Oryctolagus cuniculus: one gene and its partners. The protein of the gene in region 2 interacts with the protein of the main gene of each other region in a biochemical or structural test. Links are inferred from orthologs where the notes say so. Each region holds a gene or a part of one and is shown on either strand. Other genes may lie near its edges.

Evidence for each region.
Region 1: the proteins of rab proteins geranylgeranyltransferase component A 2 (region 2) and RAB1A form a complex in vitro, tested with the Homo sapiens proteins (2 studies listed by BioGRID). The link is inferred for Oryctolagus cuniculus from reciprocal best matches to the Homo sapiens genes CHML and RAB1A.
Region 3: the proteins of rab proteins geranylgeranyltransferase component A 2 (region 2) and RAB5A form a complex in vitro, tested with the Homo sapiens proteins (2 studies listed by BioGRID). The link is inferred for Oryctolagus cuniculus from reciprocal best matches to the Homo sapiens genes CHML and RAB5A.

What each region holds. Positions count from the first base shown.
Region 1 is NC_091433.1:137,616,080-137,623,423, reverse strand, and holds the start of RAB1A (ras-related protein Rab-1A), read right to left. Parts: upstream 4,648-7,344; 5' UTR 4,222-4,647; coding exon 4,199-4,221; intron 2,509-4,198; exon of another isoform or gene 2,385-2,508; intron 1-2,384. UniProt on the Homo sapiens protein: The small GTPases Rab are key regulators of intracellular membrane trafficking, from the formation of transport vesicles to their fusion with membranes.
Region 2 is NC_091444.1:55,940,538-55,947,808, reverse strand, and holds the start of rab proteins geranylgeranyltransferase component A 2, read right to left. Parts: upstream 4,420-7,271; coding exon 2,455-4,419; 3' UTR 1-2,454. UniProt on the Homo sapiens protein: Substrate-binding subunit (component A) of the Rab geranylgeranyltransferase (GGTase) complex. Binds unprenylated Rab proteins and presents the substrate peptide to the catalytic component B.
Region 3 is NC_091435.1:155,564,817-155,572,213, reverse strand, and holds the start of RAB5A (ras-related protein Rab-5A), read right to left. Parts: upstream 4,247-7,397; 5' UTR 4,232-4,246; intron 4,185-4,231; exon of another isoform or gene 4,050-4,184; 5' UTR 3,738-4,049; intron 1-3,737. UniProt on the Homo sapiens protein: The small GTPases Rab are key regulators of intracellular membrane trafficking, from the formation of transport vesicles to their fusion with membranes.

The DNA of each region.
Region 1 (7,344 bases), on a different chromosome or scaffold from region 2:
ATCTTATCAATGACATTGTTAAACAAATAAAAGAACTGACTAAACTGCTTTAAATTTCAAATACTGAAGTTTGATTTTTTTTTCAAGATTTATTTACTTATTTGAAGTCAGAGTTAGAGAGGGAGATCTTCTGCCTGCTGGTTCACTCTTTTTTTTTTTTTTTTAAGATTTATTTATTTATTTGAAAGTCAAGAGTTACACAGAGAGAGGAGAGACAGACACAGAGATCTTTCATCTTGTGAGCTGCTGGTTCACTCCCCAATTGGCCGCAATCACAGGAACTGCGCCGATCCGAAGCCAGGAGCTTCTTCCGGGTCTCCCACGTGGGTGCAGGGGCCAAAGCACTTGGGCCATCTTCTACTGCTTTCCCAGGCCATAGCATAGAGCTGAATGGGAAGTGGAGCAGCCGGGACTCGAACCAGCGCAGGCAGTGGCCTTACCCACTATGCCACAGCACCAGTCCCCTGGTTCACTCCTAAGCTGGCAGCAACAGCTAAGGTTGGGCCAGGCCAAAGCTAGGAGCCAGGAGCTTCTTCCAAGTCTTCTACATGGGTGGCAGGGGCCCAAGGACTTGGGCCATCTTCCGCTGCTTTCCCAGGCACACTAGCAGAGAACTGGATAGGAAATGGAACAGCAGGGACTTGAACCAGCGCCTGCATGGGATGCCATGGTGGCAGCCAGTGGCTTTACCCACTGCACCACAATGCCAGACACCAAACACTTAAGTTTTTAAAAAAGGATTTACATGAAACAGAGCACTGGTCAATTTAAAAAGTCAAACCATGCCAAAAAAGAAAGAAGTTTTTAGACTGAAAAAAATTTGAAATCCTAGAATCATATTTTTAAAAGGGGGAGGAGGTGTGTGCTAAAAACAACTTAATTATTTTAAGTGTTTCGCATTACAGGACTACAGCTGATCCAAATAGACTGCTGTATTTCTTCTTCTTGGTTTACTGGCATACTCAAGATAAATACACACGCATTGTTCTTAAAACATTACTTAAAGATGAGAGAGCCAAAATTATTTTTTTAACACTAAAAAAAAGCACTAGAAGCCAAGGGATTATGAAAAATGCTTCTGGTATGAGAATAATGTTAAGCATTTCTTAACCAGCATGCTGAAATAAGCACTGCCTGCTTCACCACATCACTAAAAAAAAAAAAAAAAAAAAAAAAAACTTCAGATTTCCATAAAAAACAAAGTTCTACTTTTTCCATACTTCAGACTGCACTTCCAATTGCTTGCTTTCGTTTGTAGTTGATAGGAAAATCATCCAAACTTTCTACCTTAATGTTAACCGTGGGTAGGTCATTTCTCCCAAACTGGCTTGATAAAGGAAAGCAGTCAAAAGGATGGCTTAAAATTCAACTACTGATGTATTTTTCCCCCTCACCCCTAAAATAAAAACTTAAATATTGTAAAGAACATTCAGAAATATAGCTACCAACAGGTAATCTTATGTCAGCCAATAAACATCTTCCAAATTCAGCAACATCCTACAGCAGATTTTTAGGTTTTTAAAAGGAACAAGATAAATTAGACAACAATCCATAGCAAGCTAAGAAATATCTGGGAGGATACATTAACTAATGAACCATTCTGTAATCCTGGAATAAGGGAAGACATTCATCCATTAAAAGTGTTAATTAAGAGAAAGCATAAGATTTTAAAGTTTAGAACAAGGTGTTAAAGAAAATGTATTCAATAATAAGGAATGCTTTCTTTTTTTGTTTTCCAATTACTCTTACAATGTTAAACTTCGTTAAAGACAAAAAGAGATCAATGAAGTCAGATTGGTAAAAAAAAAATCTGATTATTGGTTGCCCCCGATCTTCCCTAAAATAGCCATCTTTTACTATCACCCTAAGATATTTTCATTAACACTTTTGCAAAGGTTTTCCCAAACTACTGGACTATTTTAATAGACAGTCCAGAATGCAAATACAGTAGGCTAGATATTGGCAAACAAGATGCCAGAAAAAAATATAAAAAGATTTTCTAAGTTTGACTCTGTTGAGATCATTAATCTAAAGTTCTTAAAAGAAAGGATGATCTGGCACTACACTTACTTAAATTCTATAGTCCTTGCCATTTATTGGCCATCCTTCCTTTTTGCCCCTGGAAAAATCCTCCTCGATCCTTTCTGCTCTTCCAAATCTCACTGCTAATAACATCCTTACAGGTTTCTTTTCCAGAGTCTTCCAAAACCCAATGGGCAAGCCAAAGTCACTACATTCCTCTGAAATCCTGTTGCTCCAATCTATACTGCATATTTGGAACTTGCTATATCTACTGACATTTGATATGCATAAAATCTACATTCTAAAAAAAAAAATCTACATTCTATATTCCATTTATAAGTTCCTTGGGGAACTTATAAAACCATAGCACTGTTAAACCCTAGCACTATCAGAATGCCTTACAGGAAAATGATTTCTACCTCCAAAAGAATGTTCTTACCATTTTCCAAATTCGTCTGGAAGTATCTGAATCTCACCACTACATTGGTAAGGATGACTCCTATTTATCCTATTTTACAAAAGGAGAAACAAATTCTGAAGCTGAGTAATTTCTCAAAATCTCATTCAACTAATTAATTTTCAAGGTCTATTTATAGTACTAAACATATGTAGCAAATATAGGAACCTCCCTGAACAGCAGAGGTTTAAAAAATCTCCATATAGTGGCAAATCCAAAAATTCATGTTCTTTACTGCTTCCAGGATAAACACTAATTAGGAACCTTACATCAACTCGGGCTAACCACGTAACACCAACTTTGTCCTCGGAGCCCTTGATAAAGAAAAAATTGCCAACATAGCAAATTTTTCAAGTAAGAAATTCTAGTAAAATCGTATAGCTACTGTTTAGTACGAAAAGATATTTCAGCATCAAACCACAATATTACAAAATTTGAAGTCAGAATGCGTTTTGCAACAGTCATGTGACACACACATGACAGTCAGCTAAACTGAAGAGTTGACTTTTCAGGGGGATATGTCTACCAGTAACTGACCAAAGCAAAAAATAAAAAAACTTTTGGGACAAATACTAATTTTTGCTTTTAGAAATCCTCCTGAAAAGGTTTCCGGCGCTGAAGAATACCAATTAAATTATCAACTTTTCATTAATTTACATATATGTAAACTGTAGGAAGTGTTTTTTCTTAAGGGCCATAAAGAACTCAACTAAACTCTTCCCCAAGGCAAGTGAACACTAGTTCCCAGGAAAAGTGCCAGGTGTGTCACATCTGTTGTGGTGACCTCTTGAGTAAGCAAGGAAAAGAAATGCATTAACTTTTCATGACACGTCATGGAAGCTCATTCCCTATCTACAAGCATTCAAGTAGGTAATCCAAAACCTACACGATCTACCATAGGTCCCACTCGTTTCTCTTTCAACTTGACAGTAGTCCTTGTCCAATTCGGTAGTACCCTTGGTTTTAGTTCTGTTTTTTTTTTTTCTCCCTCCCTTGACCTATAGAAGACAAAATGACTTAGGTGTCCTCTAACAACAAATTCTCCCAAATGTCCAGGGCTTTGGGAGGGCGATGGACCAGGCAAGTTCTTAAAGAACTCCTCCAGGAGATAACTCCAAACGAGAACTAAGCATTTTAAATCGCTGCTCACCATCTCTCCGCTCCTTGCCCTCAATCCCACGCAGTCCCGAGAAGCATCCATATTACCTGCAACCTGGCGGGGAGGGTGGCACGACAGGGAACCAGCAAGCTCAGGCTTTACAAGTAAAGCTGGTTTCCAACCCGGCGATCCTGACAGCTCCGCAGAGCGCGGGCGCGGGGTCTGACAGTGCCCTCTGGGGGAGCTCTCCCACCCTTCTCCTCCCCTTAAAAACAAATGCCCCTTCCAAAGTTACTGCCCCCGGAGGAAGCTGACCCTTCAGGCCGCTCCGCCACCGGACTGCCCAACGCCCCAAGGCCCTCCGCAGCGGCCCGGCACTCAGGCCCTGAGGCGGACCCGGCCGAGGCCCGGGCCGCTCACCTCTCCGGCCGACCCCTCCCCCCGGCCGCCCCTCCGCCGTCAGACAATGGGGCCCGACTCCCGGCCTCAAGCCTCTAAGGCCCCGTCACCCTTGCCTCCCTCGGGCCAATGCCCGCGCCCCTGCCCCAGCCCTCCTCGCCCCGCTTAAGCTTCCCAAGCTGGCCCACCGACCCAGCCGACCGGTGTTCTCCTGCACTCACTATTCGGGATTCATGCTGGACATGTCACTGCAGCTGCCGCCGCCGCCACCGCCGCCCTTGCTGCCGCAGCCGCCGCCCTGACTCTCCGCGCCACGGGTAATCGAAGGAAAGGAATGAGATGGGCTGTTCCGGGAGAGCAAACGTCTTCCCCCGCTCCGTCCCCTTAGAACACAATCAGCAGCCGCCGCCACTCAGCTATCGCTTCCACCCAAAATGGCCGCCGGCGAACCAGGAAATAGGGAAGCCTCGGACCAAGGGGTCTTTACACGGCCCGGAGGGCGGCCTCGGCGCGTGGCATGCCGGGAAGGAGAGTCGCGAGCGCAGCTACACGCGCAGAAGACCGACGGTGCGGCAAGGCGGCCGGGACTCCGCTTCCCGCCAAGCCCCGCGACTCTGGTGCATGCGTACTTGTGCGGTTGTCGCCCGCTCCATTCCCCACTCCCTCACCCCCCACCCTCCGCCCCTCCCTGCTCCCCTCCCCGTTGACTCGCTGGCTAGGACTTCGCTCGGACTCCCCCTAGCGGATTGGCTAAGGCCGAGAGGCCCCGGTGATGTCACCAGTGAGACGTGGCAGCCGGGCGAGTCAGCGCCCCACGGGGGAGGGGGTGGGAAGAGGCAGAGGGCGGTACCGGCCGGGGCGGAGGATGGGGGTCACGGTGGGACCGCGGGGCGGGAGGGGTCTGGCCTGGTGGGACGGCCCGAGCGTGGGGGAAGGGGCGCGCGCCTGGCGGCCCCTGAGCCCCGCGCGGTTCTCGCAGGCCCGACGGGCTTGAGGCCTGCCCTTCGCCGCTGGTCCGAGGACGTAGGCTCAGAGGGCGGCGGGAAAGTCGGGGGCCTCTGCCGAGGACTTCCGGCGCCCTGGACTGCGCGCAGCCCTCTTCACTCACCCGACCCCACCCGGGTTCGGTCACTACCGTTTTCTTTTTGATTTTTACAGTCCTGGCCCAGCCCCACTCTTGTCATGTCACCTCAGCCTGGACATTTCAGTTGCCTGCAAGTGGACTATGCCCCAGCCCATTCGCACACAGCGCTTCCACCGTGACCCCACAACCTTCAAGGGCTCCACAGCCAGGGGTGGGACACAGCCCAGGCATGGCCTAAGAGTTGAGTCTACCTGCTCTCGGCCCAGCCTTCAGGCTGAATTGTTCTGCCTCTTTAAAAGTTGCCACTTAATTCTGAGCAAGATTGGAAAGTAATAAGCGATAAAAACGTACAATTCATCACTATATAGTGCCCACAGACTCCAGGAGTAATACTAACACATAAAAAAAAAAAAAAAAAACAACCTTATGGGCTTACCAGCTCTCTTTAATCAGCTCAGGAATTTAAATCTCCACTAAACTTTAACACATTATCTTGCTTGGGTTATTTAATTACAAAGGGCATAGTATAACACATTGTCCAAAGTTTATCTTCCAACTGGTTCTAAGAACCAAGAAAATTATCTCCTGAGACTTTAAGTGATTGCAAAATCACTTAAAACTCCTATGGCACCAAAATATGGGAAGAAAGTAATTCTTCACTTCTACCCATGTACCAACTACACTCCTAACCCCCAAATCCCACCATGCACCTTAGTTGATAGCCTCATCAAACAGTCAGCTAGAGTTCCTGTATATGATGTTGATTTCTGAATTGAACATGGTCACCACTCCAGGAAAAGGACCCTGAATGGATTAAAGAATGTTTCTTACCCTGGACTCTAAAATCCTAGACCCTTCCTGCTTACTGTGATTTCACTGAGTAAAAACACAAATGTGCACAAGCACTCATACTGAGCTAAAAATTCAACCTTTCATCTATTCCAGAGATACACTATTTCCCCACTTTCTGTAACTATTTCCTAATCCAACAAAGAATTACCTCCTAAGTTTTAACCCAAGTGAGAGGATACTATGTGAATTAAATTAAAAAATGTAAAGCATGTGGTACAATGACTTTGGAGTACCTGGTAAACGTTAATAACTTTCTGGAACAGGCATTTGGTACAATGTTTGAGTTGCACATGTCTCACATTGAAGTACCTGGTACAAGTCCCAGCTCCGCTTCCCATTCCAGCTGCCTGCAATATCATGCTTTGAAAAAATTTTACAGTGCCAGCACTGTGGCGCAGTGGGTTAAAGCCCCAACCTACAGCGCCAGCGTCCCATATGGGCGCTGGTTGAGTCTGGCTGCTCCTCTTCCGATCCAGCTCTCTGCTATGGCCTGGGAAAGCAGTAGAAGGTGGCCCACATCCTTGGGCCCCTGCACCCATGTGGGAGACCTTGAGGAAGCTCCTGGCTCCTGGCCAGGATCAGCTCAGCTCTGGACGTTGTGGTCATTTAGGGAGTGAACCAGCAGAATGGAAGATCTCTCTCTCTCTCTCTCTCTCTCTCTCTCTCTGGCTCTGGCTCTGGCTCTACCTTTCTCTGTAACTCTGTCTTTCAAAGAAATAAAAAATAATTCTTTTAAAAAAAATTTTACTGGCCTTCGCTGTGGCATAGCTGGTAAACACCGCCTGTGGTGCTGACATCCCATATGGATGCTGGTTTGAGACCCAGCTGCCTCACTTCCAATCCAGCTCTCTGCTGTGGCCTGAGAAAGCAGTAGAAGATGGCCCAAGTCCTTGGGCCCCTGCACCCATGTGGGAGACCCAGAGAAGGCTCCTGGCTTCTGGTTTTGGATTGGGGCAGCTCTGGCCATTGCAGCCAACTGGAGATTGAACCATTGGATGGGAGACCTCTCTCTCTCTCTCTGTGCCTCTCCTTCTCTCTCTGTGTAACTCTGCCTTTCAAATAAATGGATAAATCTTTTTTAAAAATTTACTGACTCAAATTTTAATATACTTCATATTTAGGCATATAGGAGCCTGTACTTTTTTTTTTTTTGACAGGCAGAGTGGATAGTGAGTGAGAGAGACAGAGAGAAAGGTCTTCCTTTGCCGTTGGTTCACCCTCCAATGGCCGCCACGGTGGTGCGCTGTGGCTGGCGCACCGCGCTGATCTGAAGGCAGGAGCCAGGTGCTTCTTCCTGGTCTCCCATGGGGTGCAAGGCCCAAGCACTTGGGCCATCCTCCACTGCCTTCCTGGGCCACAGCAGAGAGTTGGCCTGGAAGAGGGGCAACCAGGAAAGAATCCAGCACCCTGACCGGGACTAGAACCTGGTGT
Region 2 (7,271 bases):
CTCCCATTTTTCCCAGTTTTTTTTTTTTTTAAACAAACTTTGCTCACACTTCCCAACATACCAGTACAATTTTCTTTAAAAGGCTCACATATTTTAATACCCAAGCACTTTTTAAATTGCCATCACTACTGGAATCTAGAAACAATATTAATTTAAAAAAACTGTATCTCCTGCAACTTCTTGAATTGGTCTTTTATTGATAGTATATTTATAAGATACTATAGGTTTAGCTAACTATAAAGCCATGTTAACAGAAAATAATATTTATGCTTTATCTTTGTTTTATATATTTTATTGCAGTGACAGGCTTAATATATAAATAATAATAATAATAATATATAAATAAAAATGATGCCACCATTAATTTCTATTTGAGAAATGTTTCTTATATATTTTTTCCCAATATATATAATTTTAGTTAAGTAATTATCACATTGTGAGAAACCTAAAAAATCAATGATAGTGAAAAACTTTTCAGTAGATCTGGATTATTTTCACCTCCATTTTAATATCTTAAATCTCTTTTTATTTTAATACTATTTTGTAAGTCAATTCAGGCATCTCACTTGTTTTGATAGGTTTAAACTTTAGGATCCACTCAATCATACCTCTTTACTATATTCAAGAAAACCAGTATTGATACCAATCAATGACTTTTCTACTTAACAATAAGCTGTCCAGTATTTAAGTCTGTCTTATTTCCCTCATATTAGAAGAGCAACAAAAGACTATTCAGAGTATATTTTGGCCAATTAATAGTTGTTTTATATAACAATCTTCAGACCAACAGACATGTTACTGAAGAGCATTATTCTGTTAAAACTTAGCCAAATTCTGCTTTATTAGATTCGTAGCTTTAACATATATTTACTTATAATTAATCTTAATCTTCATATTTCTCTTATTCAATAGTCAACTGCAAGACTGGCATCTGTCCACTTTTCCCCCCAGCAATATTAGATTCCGGTTTTCATGGGCACCTTTTCCTTCTAATACAGTATGTATACTATTGTAATCATGAACAACAGAAAAAAGGACTTTGTAATCCTGTTGGGCTCCAGTGATGGCTCTTGTACACAGTGCACTGAGAAAATTATAAATAATTGTTTCCATCATCTCTTTTTTAAAGTGTATGGCTTAATATCTGCTTCACACTGTTATTGAGAAGCTGTAGTGAGAAAGCACGATATTAAATGCCTGGCACACAGTGAATGCTCTGTTCGAGAAAGGGCTTGCTTCCTATAGGACCACCATTCTCTGCCTGAAGAACAGACATGAGACTAAATGAGGAACCTCTCCTGATAGCTCCAGTGGAGTATAGCCAGTTTTGTGCCTTCTAGTGGTTCTGCGAAGAGTTTTTGTTCTCCAGAACACAGCCAAGAGGCAGACGTGATTATGAAGACTGTTCACCTATTTGTGGGGTGGGATATAAGCAAACAGCACAGTAAATCCTCCTCTGACTTATTCCTATTAATTGCAGTCAATGCTGCTAATTAAGGTGGTAGAACCAACAAGGAATAGGTTACACCCTGAGAAAACTGCAGGTAAACTACTTACAGAGGGTTTTTAAAACTGGCTGTAATCTCAAATTTTAAAGTGACTCATCCTGTTTCTCCATAGGACTTCCTTTTCAGGAATTTCAAACAGCCATTCCTAACCATCTTTTCCTGAGGTGATTTATTTTTCCTTTGGGCCTGAGTTATTTGTTGGAAGTCCTTTTCTTTCACGTGCTAGAGCAGGACTCTGCAGGAATTTTCTGAGCTCTTCAGTTAAGTGAACTCAGATTATTTTCACAAAGTAGAAAGCAATGCTGGATGGCTTCACTGCCCCATCAGTTATAAGGATCAAGTAGGTGCAAAAAATGGCAAAATGTAAAATTCTTCACAAAGAATAAAGAATCACGCACAGCTAATCCTTTAACAAATATAAACAAATGTCTTTTATCATATTGGCACTTATAGTGATATTCCTACTATGAACTCTGAGTTTTTATATTATATACAAAGACCCACATAATTTACTATTTGTGTATTTCACTGTTCAAACAGATGTGATAGCAACATAACAGCTGCCAAAGTAACTAAAATATTCCTAAGGTCCTATTTATTGTCCTGTAGAAAATGACAGTCTGAAGATCAATAGTATACACAATATAATCTTTGAGTTGCTAACATGGAACTCAATACATACAATATTAAAACAAAGGTATCCCTGCTTTAAGATTCTGATCACAGAGCAGATTCTGAAACAAAGACTCCAACAACTGACAAGTCAATTAGTGACAGGTTAATAAAAAACACCTAAGGCTGAATACCCTAAGCAGAGTCAAAGACAAAATCTGCAGAGCATTCACCATATAACCACTTCCAATTATTCATATGGAAACATGGCCTTTAAATGAGAGTATTCTGATGCCAGGATGAAGAGGAAGAGGATTTCCACTTTTTTTTTCTTCTAATTTTGAAGCTGCTTCTCTGGACTTTCTAAGTTTTTGCTGTCCTCAGAGGATTCTTGTTTGGCCATTGTTGTATCACTGGTTCCAGAAGCCTCCAGTAGCCTGTCATCACCATCATAGATAATGTCTTCTGGATTTGGAGGTGGAGGGCAGAATTCTTCACCTGGAAAGATCTCCTGAAAAAGTGTTTCGGCTTGCTTGACTGCATGCTCATTTCCCAGGCCACAGTCAGGCCCAGAGCAGACATAAACATTGGAAGGTAAGCCATCATAGGAGCCTCTGCTGACTACTGAGGAATCTCTCATGTTAAAATAAAGAGCCCACAAGAGTCTTGGTTTTGTAGGCCCTTCCTTTTGCATTTCTGTTTCAGCATAAGGAGTGAATAATTTCTGCGTCACTGGTTCTAGGTCTTCTCGTGCCGTTTTTGAAGATGGACACGTTAGATGTACCAGATATGTGTCTTTCATGCATGTCATAGTTGAAGAACATAATTCTGTGACCCGGACAGAACAAGTCTGTGCTTCCACTGGAGGCACTATCAAAATGGAAATCTGCTGATCTGAATTTGTCTTTAGTAGAGACTGATCTGTGATGAGCACTGCCCTTGAGATTTGCTTATACTGCACATTTGAGCATGTTTCCTCAGAAAGGTAACTATCCTCCATGATAAAATACTTAGCATTTATTCTTTGACCAAAGTGATCTATAATGGCTTTACATCTTCCAGATTCTTTGTCAACTACAAGACACTGTACTTTATGACGAAGACAGTAGATTCCACCAAAAACTGCACACATTCTGCAGAAACACTGGGGGATTTCACCTTGACCATACACAGGAAATAAAAAGGGAGTGTTGCCGAACCGTCCAAGACACTGAAGAAAAATTTTTGTTGCTTTAAGACCATCTAATGTAGTACATGAGGTTTCTGATGTCATTGCAATTGAATGTAGCACAAAATGTTGGAGGTTGGGGGTTAGTTTTTTAGCTTTCAAGTACTCTGAAAATGAACATTGTTTGAAATCTTGGTATTCATCAGGATGCTGCTCATAGTCTAGACAGAAGGTAAGAAATTTCATTAACATCCTCTTTTCAACCATGGTGAGTTCTTTGCTATTAAAGACATCTGCTCTAGAACAAGGAACCTGTTCCACCTTCCCTTCCCGATATGCAAGAATCCTGGTGACATTTTTAAATTCAGCATAACGACTAACATTGGATTTGATTAAAAGATCAATTAAGGATCCTTGAGAATATAGCAGCTTTGACACCAAATCAATATTAAATCTCCTCTCTTCTTTAATTATTTGAGAATAAGTAGTCCTATTTCTCTTTTGTTGGTCAGTATTGTCTTCTTTAGGGTTGTTTTCATCTTCATCTCCATCTGAAACAGTGTGTGCAGAAGTTTTGTCTCCACAATACTTTTCTTTCTCCAGTGATTCTTCTATATCAGTTACTTCAAGTGAAATCTCTGTTTCATTTTTTTGAGTGTGTTTTGCAGACATTTCATAGTGAGCAAAGTCTGATGAGTGCCTTTCTTTGGGGAAGGCTGCAGAATTCAGAGGTTCTGTGAGGGTACTAGATGCCGCTGAGGAAGGATTTTTTGGCACAGCACCAATGTCTTCAACACTGTCCTCCATATCTTGACTGGCGTAACAAAAAACTTCTGTATGTTGGATGCTTTTATCCTTCTTGCAAAGAGGGATGGCTTCTTCTGTTTCATGGATTGAGTCTTGCCATGTAGCAATACTTTCTTCCCCAATGTCACTGTTTTGTTGATACTCATTCAGCCAGGATAGTAATCCAGAAAAGCTGAAACTAGCCCAGTTTCCTCCATAATAACTTCTTGAATCAAGATGCAGAACCCTCTGACCACTTCTTGCACATGCAGCTGCAAGGATAGACTCTGGCAAACCTGTCCCTATTACAACCACATCAAACTCTGTGGGGAGACTGTGCGCCATCCTAGGAGGAAACGTCTGCTGACAACTGCTGATGGAGGAAATGCATATGAATATAGGCTGAGGGCTCAGCTGAGATGTGATCGTGCTGAAATAAAATCTCTGCTTGTGATGTTCCAGCTTATCTCAGAAGCACTGAAGCTGCAGGTCCTAGCTGTTTAACGGTTACCCTTTTAAAGTATTTTTTTATAAGTCAGCAGCATAAAAACATGATAAAGTACATTTATTCACATCTGAGAATACTAAAACGGATGTGTAGTTTTCATTTCTGCATTTCACCTTAGCAGTAAATGTCAAAATGCATCACATATGCATTTGTGACTGGAACTCTTCTCTGAAAGAAGAAAATTCAAGAAAAAAAAAGAATACAATTGAAAACAATATAAAAGTAATTTCATGCAACAGCAATTACAAGCCATTGGAGCCTGACTTCTTATTTGGATATAAACTTCTACTAAAGCAAGTCATTAAATTCTTTCTCATTTTTTTTAGTCCCTTGAAAATGAATAATGGAGATATAACCCCCCCAAATCAGGCAATATAATATAAAGAATGGTCATAATGTTTCACAATAAAGAATAATTAACATAATACAATTTCACAGCTTTTAGAAAATATTTGAATAAAACTATATACAGCTGTAAGTTCAGACTAAAAGAAATGTGTGCCTCCTCTGTATTTATGGGAACAGACAATATACTATGCACAACATCATGATTAGGAATATTTCTATGACCAGGATAGTTTGTGAATGATTCCAGAACAGCCAAATAGAAGACCTTTCCATACCCCACTACCCTTAGGATCTCATGGTAGCAGTTAACAAGTCAGATTATTACAAAAAGGATTATTGATTCAGTTAAAAGACTAGCATTTGAAAACATTCAGGTGTGTACAAGAAAAGGCATACTGATGGGGAAAATATCTAAAAAATGTGAATCTCCATATGCATATGTGTGTTTTGTAAGTGTAAAGTATAAAGGAAAATTGGTTACTGGCTTAGTATATCAAGCATCTTAACATAAGTAAGACTTCTAACATTTGAACAGGGTAGTGTTTTGCATTTTGCCAGACTGCCTCCACAATCCCTAAATCTCTGTAACCCAACAAAAAGGTCTTGAGTATCTCCTGCCAAGATGACCCATGTTGTTTGCTATACTTACTATTCAAAGGGTAGTGAACAAAGGCATAATGTTGGCTAAATGCCACATGCAGAAAAAAAGGTGTATGTGATTCCAGGGTGTAGCCAGAGGGAGAATAATGAAGAAACTGAAGGGCATACCCACCTGGAAGTCTTTAACATAAAGCACTACACACACCACATTGCTAACCTTTCTATCGTTCATCAATGCAGAGTATTAGTGAGGGTTCTCTGACCTCTGATTTTTGCTGTTACCAAATCTACTGAAATCTAGATCAATATAAGCTGCATCTTGCTGATGCTAAGATGACTAATTACTCTGAATACTGATAAAATAAGTCATTCAATGGGAACTTACATTAAGTTGACTAGGTCACTAACCTCACTGGTCAGTTTAAATGAAAACGATAATCCTCATAGTCCTGTCTAGTGAGGACCTCTGACTAAAAGATAATTTTCAGCGTTCCCTGAGAAGCCACGATCTGAGCACAAAATAAGCCAGTTGCCTGGTCTGCTCATGTAAATACGTTAGTGTGTCTGAATTACTTCTTCGGCCTTCCTCAGCAGGGTGTGAAGATGGAGATAGAATCTATGATGTTACCTGAAGAAGTGTGACCATCTTCTTGGCTTAGAAAACACAGAGCTGAGGGTGGGATAAAGCAGGGAAAATACAGGTCACAACCACTAACATTAGGTACTTTCTAGCCTACAGATATCAAAAGTCTTATCAAAATACAAAGGAAGTGGATGGCCTTAAAGAACAGGGAGCTCAAGTACCCCATAACAGAGAAAACCAACGCTGTAGAGATTAACTCATTCTTATGTCACGAAGTCAATGATCTTCCCATTAAAGAGGGCAGCCTCTCCAAAAGCCTCTGCAGCATTTCTTTTATTTCTGCCACACCTGCAGTACTCCACAACTAGTTGCTTGCTTGGTTGGTTCTTGCTCAGAGATAACTGGGGAAGTGAAGCACCTTTCGTTTCTTCATCCTTAACCCTAACCTAGAAGCACAATCCTTGGAATTTACTCCAGGCAAAGAAATTTTTTATCTTTGCTAAGAACATGTTGAGCTCCACAAAAACCTCATTACTGACCTGTCTTAAATAAGACTCTGATCCTCTTAGCCAGGATTTTTAACCTCTAATTTAAAAACAGAGGACAAAGTGAAAGCACTAGCTAAATGTCCCCAAGAAACAGAGCAGCCTTTAGGTGAAATTCCATGTGCTAGCTTCTAGCAGTCTTAGAAAATCATTTCTGATTGGGATAGGGCCCCAGCAAGGATGGCAAGGGAGAAGAGACAGGAGGGTGAGATCTGCAGAGGAAAGGGATGAAGAGGGTGGGTGGCAATGCTTATTGAAAACTCAATACAGTCTTGTTTTCAAACTCCTGGGCACAGATATACAATTTCCCACCACAGAAAAGGTGCTTCACAAAACAAGAACTTTCATGTCTATGAAAAAAACAACTGTTATCCTCCAAAAGGAGCATCCCCCATACTTTAGACACAGACTTAAAACATGTTCCTTAAAGCTTGGCCCTGCCTAAAAAGTTGCCTGGTATTTTTTAATGAAAATAAAAAATATAATCACACAGCCATCTACATTACTGCCTACATACAGTGAGAGCTGTCTCCCCATGTTTCAAATCTTTGTACAAATGAAATACTCAGATTCATGCTCATTGGAGCGGAAAAGAAAATACTGGAAGAAATGT
Region 3 (7,397 bases), on a different chromosome or scaffold from region 2:
GTGTGCATTTTCATGAAGCTAGATCAGCAACAGACCAGAGACTCAGTCCTTCTGATATGAGATGGTAGCGTCCCAAGAGGTATCTTAACCAATGGGCTACAATATTCACCTCTCACTATCTTTTTTAAAAGTAACAATTTAAAGTTGTAATGTGAGCCTAAAATCAGTCTGTAATCTTCAGGTTTTTTTTTTTTTTTAAACTAACCTTTATCACAGCCTCAACTTTGTGCCAGGTAGTGTTTTAGTACTTCAGCACAGCCACTCTACAACCTTTTAGTTAGTTACTATTACAATCTTTATAAAGGAGGAAACAGAGGCATAGAGAAGTAACATGATTGAGGTCACATACTTACTGTGACAGATTTGAGACACAGATGAGTCTCAAAGCAAGGCAACCTGAGAGGTGATTCTAGAATTCAGGATTAAATACTTGGGTTAAAATTGTTTTTTTTGGGGGGGGGCTGGTGCTGTGACATAGCAAGTGAAACTGCTGCCTGTAGTGACAGCATCCCATATGGGTACCGGTTTGAGTCCCAGCCTGCTCCATTTCTGATCCAGCTCTTTGTTCTGGCTTGGGAAAGCAGTGGAAGATGGCCCAAGTCCTTTGGCCCCTGCACTTCCGTAGCAGACCCGGAAGAAGCTTCTGACTCCTGGCTCCGGATTGGTGCAGCTCTGGCCATTGCCACTAATTGGGGAGCGAACCAGTGGATGGAAGACCTCTCTCTCTCTCTCTCTGCCTCTCCTTCTCTCTATATAACTCTTTCAAATAAATAAATAAATCTTAAAAAAAAATTGTGGGAAATTAATAAACAGAAAGCTCTTAGATTCCCACAATTTATAGTTATTTGAAAATCTGTTATTGCATGCTTTTCATTCATGGTAATTTTAGGGCAAACATTTTAAGGAGCCCAGTGCTGTATGTGCAGAGGCTGAAAGATGTAAAACTATCCTCACATACCATTCACAGAAATGCTAATGGCTATTCTCTAATGTGGTGCAACTATTAGTGACTTATTTACTAATACTACCTTTTTTTTGTAGTTTTTGGAATTACAATATATGCCATTATTTTCTATTAAACAACACATTTGGAGAAAACTAGCCTGAAGGCAAATTCTTTTCTTACCAGTATCTAAAAGTGCTCATTTTTTTTCTTTCTTTTTTTAAGATTTATTTGAAAGGCTCAGTTAGAGAGAGGGAGAGACAGAGACAGGTCTTCCATCTGCTGGTTCACTCCCCCAAATGGCCACAACTGAAGCCAGGAGCCAGAAAAGCTTCTTCCAGGTCTCCCACGTGGGTACAGGGGCCCAAGCACTTGAGCCATCCTCCCAGCTTTCCCAGCAGGGAGCTGGATGGGAAGTGCAGCAACCAGGAATTGAACAGGCACCCATATGGGATGCTGGCACTGAAGGTGGCAGCTTACCTGCTACATCACAACCACAACCAAGGCTCCCAAATGTGCTAATTTTCAATTTCAAAGGAATTAGCAAATATTTGAAGAGCACTTTTCAACCTATTCACATCTTTAATAAAAATATGATTATATGCTTACTAATATACTAAATATGATTTCCTCTCTAAAAATGTAGCTATACTTCACTGAGTTACCTCATATAAGAAATTCGCCTTCCCTATAAAATTTTAGTTTTTATGAGACATATTATTGACAATTCACTAATATATTGATATCTTAATTCTAGACAATTAAGTTCACTTCTTGGCTTTATCTAAAACTCCAGCTTTGAAGCGTCTTTAACAGTACATGCTGATATATTTACAGATGAAATGATGTTTAAGCTGCTTCCAAACATAAGGTACAGGGGCTGGCACTGTGACATAGAGGATAAAGCTGCCGCCTGCAGTGCTGGCATCTCATACAGGTGCTGGTTCGAGTCCAGGCTGCTCCACTTCTGATTCTGCTCTCTGCTATGAACTGGGAAACCAGCAGAAGATGGCCCAAGTCCTTGGGCCCCTGAACCCTCATGGGAGACCAGGAAGAAGCTCCCGGCTCCTGGCTTTGAGTCAGCGCAGCTTAGGCTGTTGCAGCCATCTGGGGAGTGGACGAGCGGATGGAAGACCTCTCTCGATCTCTCCTCTCCTCTCTCTGTGTAACTCTTTCAAATAAATAAATCTTAAAAACAAACGAACACACACCATAAGGTACAAATAAAACTACTTCCCCATACTGTCCCAAACACAGTAAACTTGGGAGTTTAATCCTGGTAGTACCAATTTCTGTCTGGGCCAATTTTTTAATTTTCAAACTACATAATTTGCATAGTTGCCAGTTAATCACGTGATACAATATATATAATCTCTAATACAGTACCTATCATACAGCAGGGTTTGAATGGACAACTAAAGTGGCCCTTTGGTTACATGTCAAACACCAATAGAATGTCGTATAGGCAGAAAACGCACCAATTCGCTTTCAGGAATAAACATAGTTGAAACACTTCCCAACAGCCTCTTATCTACAAAACTGCTGATCATTTATCAAGGATACCATGTTCTGAATTTCTACAGTACTTCTGAAAATTTAGGGAAAACACCAGACACCCATAAAAAAGTCAAGCAAAATTGTGATTTACGTTTGCCTTCTAAGTTTTGAAGCCACTGAATCCTTATGCTACAAGGATCTCTAACAGGAAATAAATCAAAAACAGCGTAATATTAACAAGGTAAAAACTGCGTGCATTTACTCGTATTCACACTTACTGAGAATTCTCCCAGTTTTGCCAAACAAGGACTTTGCATTGTATGCATTTTTAAACTTGGAAATAACTAGTGTTCTGTAGTGCTCTTTTGCTCTTTTTAGGTCCTCTTTGATCAAAAAATCACTGGGTACTCATTCTGTGCCTGGCATGGTTACCAAGTACTTTGCTTACAACAACCCTAAGTGTTCAAACTATCTGCATTCGACAGTGAAAAGAACAAAGTTTCTGAGGAGTCCAGAATATTCCCGGAGTAGTGTAACAGTTTGATTCCACTTAAGCCAGGCCAAAAAAAATCAAATACGTAAACTAGGATGCTAGGAGCTTAAAAAGTCTGAAAGTCTCGAGGGGCTGACCAGTTCCCAGGGAAGACAGCATCAGGGCAGGTCTCCTGGTTTACCCACCAAGGGAGCTGTACGGCGGCCCAGTTACCTTTAATTTCCTTAAAGCTGCGGCTCGCCACCTGCCAGTCTCCAGAGCGGTTGTCTGGCTGAGCCTCCCAGCCCTTCCATTACCCATCTTTCGAAGGTAGGCGGAGCTCCCCAGATCCACACCTGCCCTAGGCCCCGGTCCCTGCTTGCAACACCTGAGCAGCTGAGAGCCGACTCCGGATCGCCCGAACAAACAGTACCCGCCAGGGCTCTGGGCCGTCCCGCCACCCTCCTCCCTTAAACCTGCACGGCTCTCCCTGGGACCCCCGGGCTGTCTGGAGAGGCCGGGCGGAACCACGGCCTCCGGTACTCTTTCCGCGGCGCCATCTTGAGAAGGGAAGAGGGTGACACCCGTCGGCTCCCTCACCCAGTCCCCAAATCGCGGTCTCCACCAGAACCCCTGGCGGCATGAGTCACCAGGGCTGGCAGGCCGACAGGCCCGGGTGCGGTAGCTCTGTGGTCCCGGAGACGGGCGCAAGTCGGGGAGGACGTGCTGGGGGCCCCGCCGCCCGCACAGCCGCGGGCAGGATGGAGACCGCGGCTCAGCCCAGCTCCAGACCCGCTCTGCACAGGGGAAGGCTGGTCTGGTTACCTGCGGCTGCGGCACGCGGGGCCGCGGCACCGCAGCTTGCTGGCGGCAGGGAGCAAGCGTGGCCCGAAGGACGGCAGCGAAGCGGAGGCTGTGGCGGCGACGGCGGCGTCTCCTCGCGTCGCTCGCCTCACACCGGACCGTGCGGGGCTGGAGCCGTGGTGCCGCCCCTGCCGGGCTCCGTCTCCGCCTCTCCGCGCTCCGCCTTTCTCTTTCCTTTCTCCTCCTCCGCCGCCGGCGCTCAAGTTCCGACGAATTCTTCCTCCTCCTCCTCCTCCCTCCTCCGCCTCCTCCCCTCAGGCCGGCCGCCGGCTCCTTCAAGAACCAAAACACAAACACTCAAGTCCCAACGCGGGAGCCACTTCCGCAGCCGGGCGCCGGCCCCGCCGCCACGTCGCTGCGCGCAGCGAGAGACGCCGCTTCGTCACTTCCGGTCGGCGCCAGTCCGTCCCGCCCCATCCGCTTCCCCGCCCCTCTCGAGGCGCACCCAGCCCTACCGGGGAGGGGGCGGGGCGCGGCGGGCTGTCACGTGGCTCTGCGCTGGGGCGGGTTTTACTGCCTTGTTGTGTCTGCGCCACGCCGGTTGCGCGCGACCGCGCCCTCGCAGCTCTTTTGTCAGCAGGGCGGAGGCCTCTGGGCTCCTGTGACTGGGGCTGGGTGGGGTATCCCGTGCTGCCCTGCTTTGGGGGAAGACCTAAGGCGCTTGAGTTTGTTGCGCCCAGCCCTTTGTTGTAAGTGTGAGCTCACAGTCCCCTCCATCCCGCCCCGCACCACCCCAATCCTGGTGACTTGGCCTAAGGGGTTTTTTTGAGGGAGGTTGTAACAGGAGACACGCCTACTGTGTCCCTGAGGCCAGGTGTGTCTGTAAAGGAAGGTAAGTCGTTTGTACCGCCGGCAGGAAGCTAGGACCCTCTGCATCCTAAAGCCGTCTTTAGTGGCAAAGCATTAAAACAGTTGGCACGTAAGAAGCGCTTACCTGTTTTTGGTAGGGTACATGTTAAGCAAACCTGTTGTTCAGATTTCCCTTTGGGAGTTACAGTACTAAACGTTTTACAGTAGGTACAAGTCTTTGTGAAACCAGCTTGTGAATCGTCGTGTGGGCACATTAACACTAACTTCCCAAACTGGTCCTCACCTCTGTGAACCTGGCTAGCACGTGGCCAGGCAGCTAAGAATCTTCAGGCATGGCTTTGGGATTAATGAATGAGGCGTGCCTGCTTTACAGGTAACGCGCTCGAAGCACAGAGATTGTGTAACTTGTACAAGACTGGGAATTCTTTTTAAAGATGTATTTATTCAAAAGGCAGAGTAACAATATTTCTTCCATCCACTGACTCACTTCCCAAATGGCTGCAATGGCAGGGCCTGGCCTATGCTGCCAAGAGGCTTCAGCTCCTTCCTGGTCTCGCAAGAGAGTATCAGGGGCTAAGTACTTGGGCCATCATCCCCTGCATTAGTAAATAAGGATTGGAAGCAGAGCAGCCTGGGTTCAGACTAGCTGTTCAAAAGGAGACTCAGCATTGCAAGTGGCAGCTTAACCTGCTGCCTGTGCCTTGACCCTCTGTGCTGCGTACAATACAATGCTGGCCCCAGAATGTCAGTTCTTATACAAAGTTCCGGTGAAAGACCACAACCTGAGCTGGTTGTTGCCCTCTGCAGCAGATCCTCTTAAGCATGCTTTGGTAAAATCCCAGATCATAGTTAGTTTCTGGAAAGCGTCTAAAACCAACCCCTCTCCCCTTGATCGTTGCTTTTTCCCCAGAATAAGGGATGCTTTGCAGTTTATAATTTACAACTTACAGTCCTGCTGTGAAGGCATGAATATTGTCTTTGGAGTGTACCTGGGCTAAGGTATCCTGTGAGTGCTCGGTCAACATTGTGCAATGAAGATGATTTGAACCCTTGACTAACTAGCTCGTCTTTCAGCACCTCCCCAGTTACTAGAAGAGCATAATATGGCATCTGTGAATGGTATCTGTGGCACTGCATCCTGAAAGGCCTGTTCTGATGTTGCATAAGTCATGGTCATAGCTCTAGGACGATCCCAGAAAGAATCAGGAAATAGGATATGTCATGTTAGTCTTGTCATGTCAATAGCATGTCCCAAGCCAAACCTATTCCACTGCAAGCCTGTTTGCATTGTTTATTCAGTGCCATTAAGAACCTCTGTCACCCAGACTTGGAACTACAGAATCATTTTCAGCTCTTCTTTTCTTCCCCATAAAGCACTGGCCATTCTGTTTCTAAAAATCCTCAAATCCCCAAATTTGAGAACTAATTCAAATGCCTGGACCATAGAAGCATTCTTGTTAAAAAAATTTTTTATTTATTTATTTGAAAGTCAGAGTTACACAGAAGAGAGGCAGAGAAAGAGAGAGAGAGTCTTCCATCCGGTGGTTCACTCCCCAACTGGCAGCAACAGCGGGAACTGTGCTGATCAGGAGCCAGGAGCTTCCTCTGGGTCTCCCAGGTGGGTTCAGGGGCCAAAGGTCCTGGGCCATTGTCTACTGCCTTCTTGGGCCATAGCAGAGAGCTGGATCTGAAGAGGAGCAGCTGGGACTAGAACCAGCGCCCATATGGGATGCCGGCGCTTCAGGCCAAGGCATTAACCCACTGAGCCACAGCGCCGCCCCGAAGCATTCTTAGAAGCAGAGTGAATGCATATTCCTTCCTTTTCAATCTACTCTTTACAGTTAGTCACTCAGCTAGTCAAAAATATTTGGTGGTTTTTCATTATTTGCTAAATTGAGTCTAAACTTCGATGCTAGTTCCAACCCATGTTTCTTTCATTCTGTTTCCATTGTCTTGTTCTCCCCAAACTCTTGCTTTATCCTCTGTCTCTCTGCTCTGTATATATTGCCTGCATGTTCCCAACTTGGCAAGTTGGATCATTTTATTCTCTCTTCCTTGAATGACATTACTGATCTCTCTTCTGGTGTCACCTCTACCAAGATGCCAGCTCCTCTGGACAGTCTTTGAGGATATTTCTGCTGGACTTGATCTTTTTTTCTCTAGTTTCACAGTCCTTTGCTTTACTCTATACTGGTGTTGCTAAAACTGCTTTATTTTATATACAGAATGCCTGGATTTTCCTCAGCCTTTCATTCCGCTTAGGATTATACAGGTTTTTAAGGACTGAGACCATCAGTCATCATTTCAGTTTCTCACAGAAGACCTTTCGTAGATATGCTCGGAACCAAAGTGTGAGTTTAATTATATTGAGAATTGTGAACATTTTACATAAGAAGGCAACACAACACATGAGGTACTAGAATTTATAAATTGCTGTGAACTCTGTCCTTCCATCTTCACTTTTCTCTACTTGTTTTTTCTTTTTTTAATGTTTATTTGAGAGGTAGAAAGAGAGAGGACTCTCATCCATTGGATCATCCCCCCGAATACTCAGCTGGCACTGGGAACTGGGAACACAATCCAAGATTCCAGTGTGGGTGGAAAGAAACCAATTACTTGAGGCATCGAGCACCTGCCTTAGAAGGAAGCTGAAGTCAGGAGGTGGAGCTGGGTTTTGAACCCAGGTACCATAATATAGAATGCAGTATCCTAACTGGCATCTTTACCACTAGGCTAAATGCCCATCCTCATTTTGCCTCTTTTTTTAAAGAATAAAAACATTTATTTGTTATTTATTTGAAAGACAGAGTT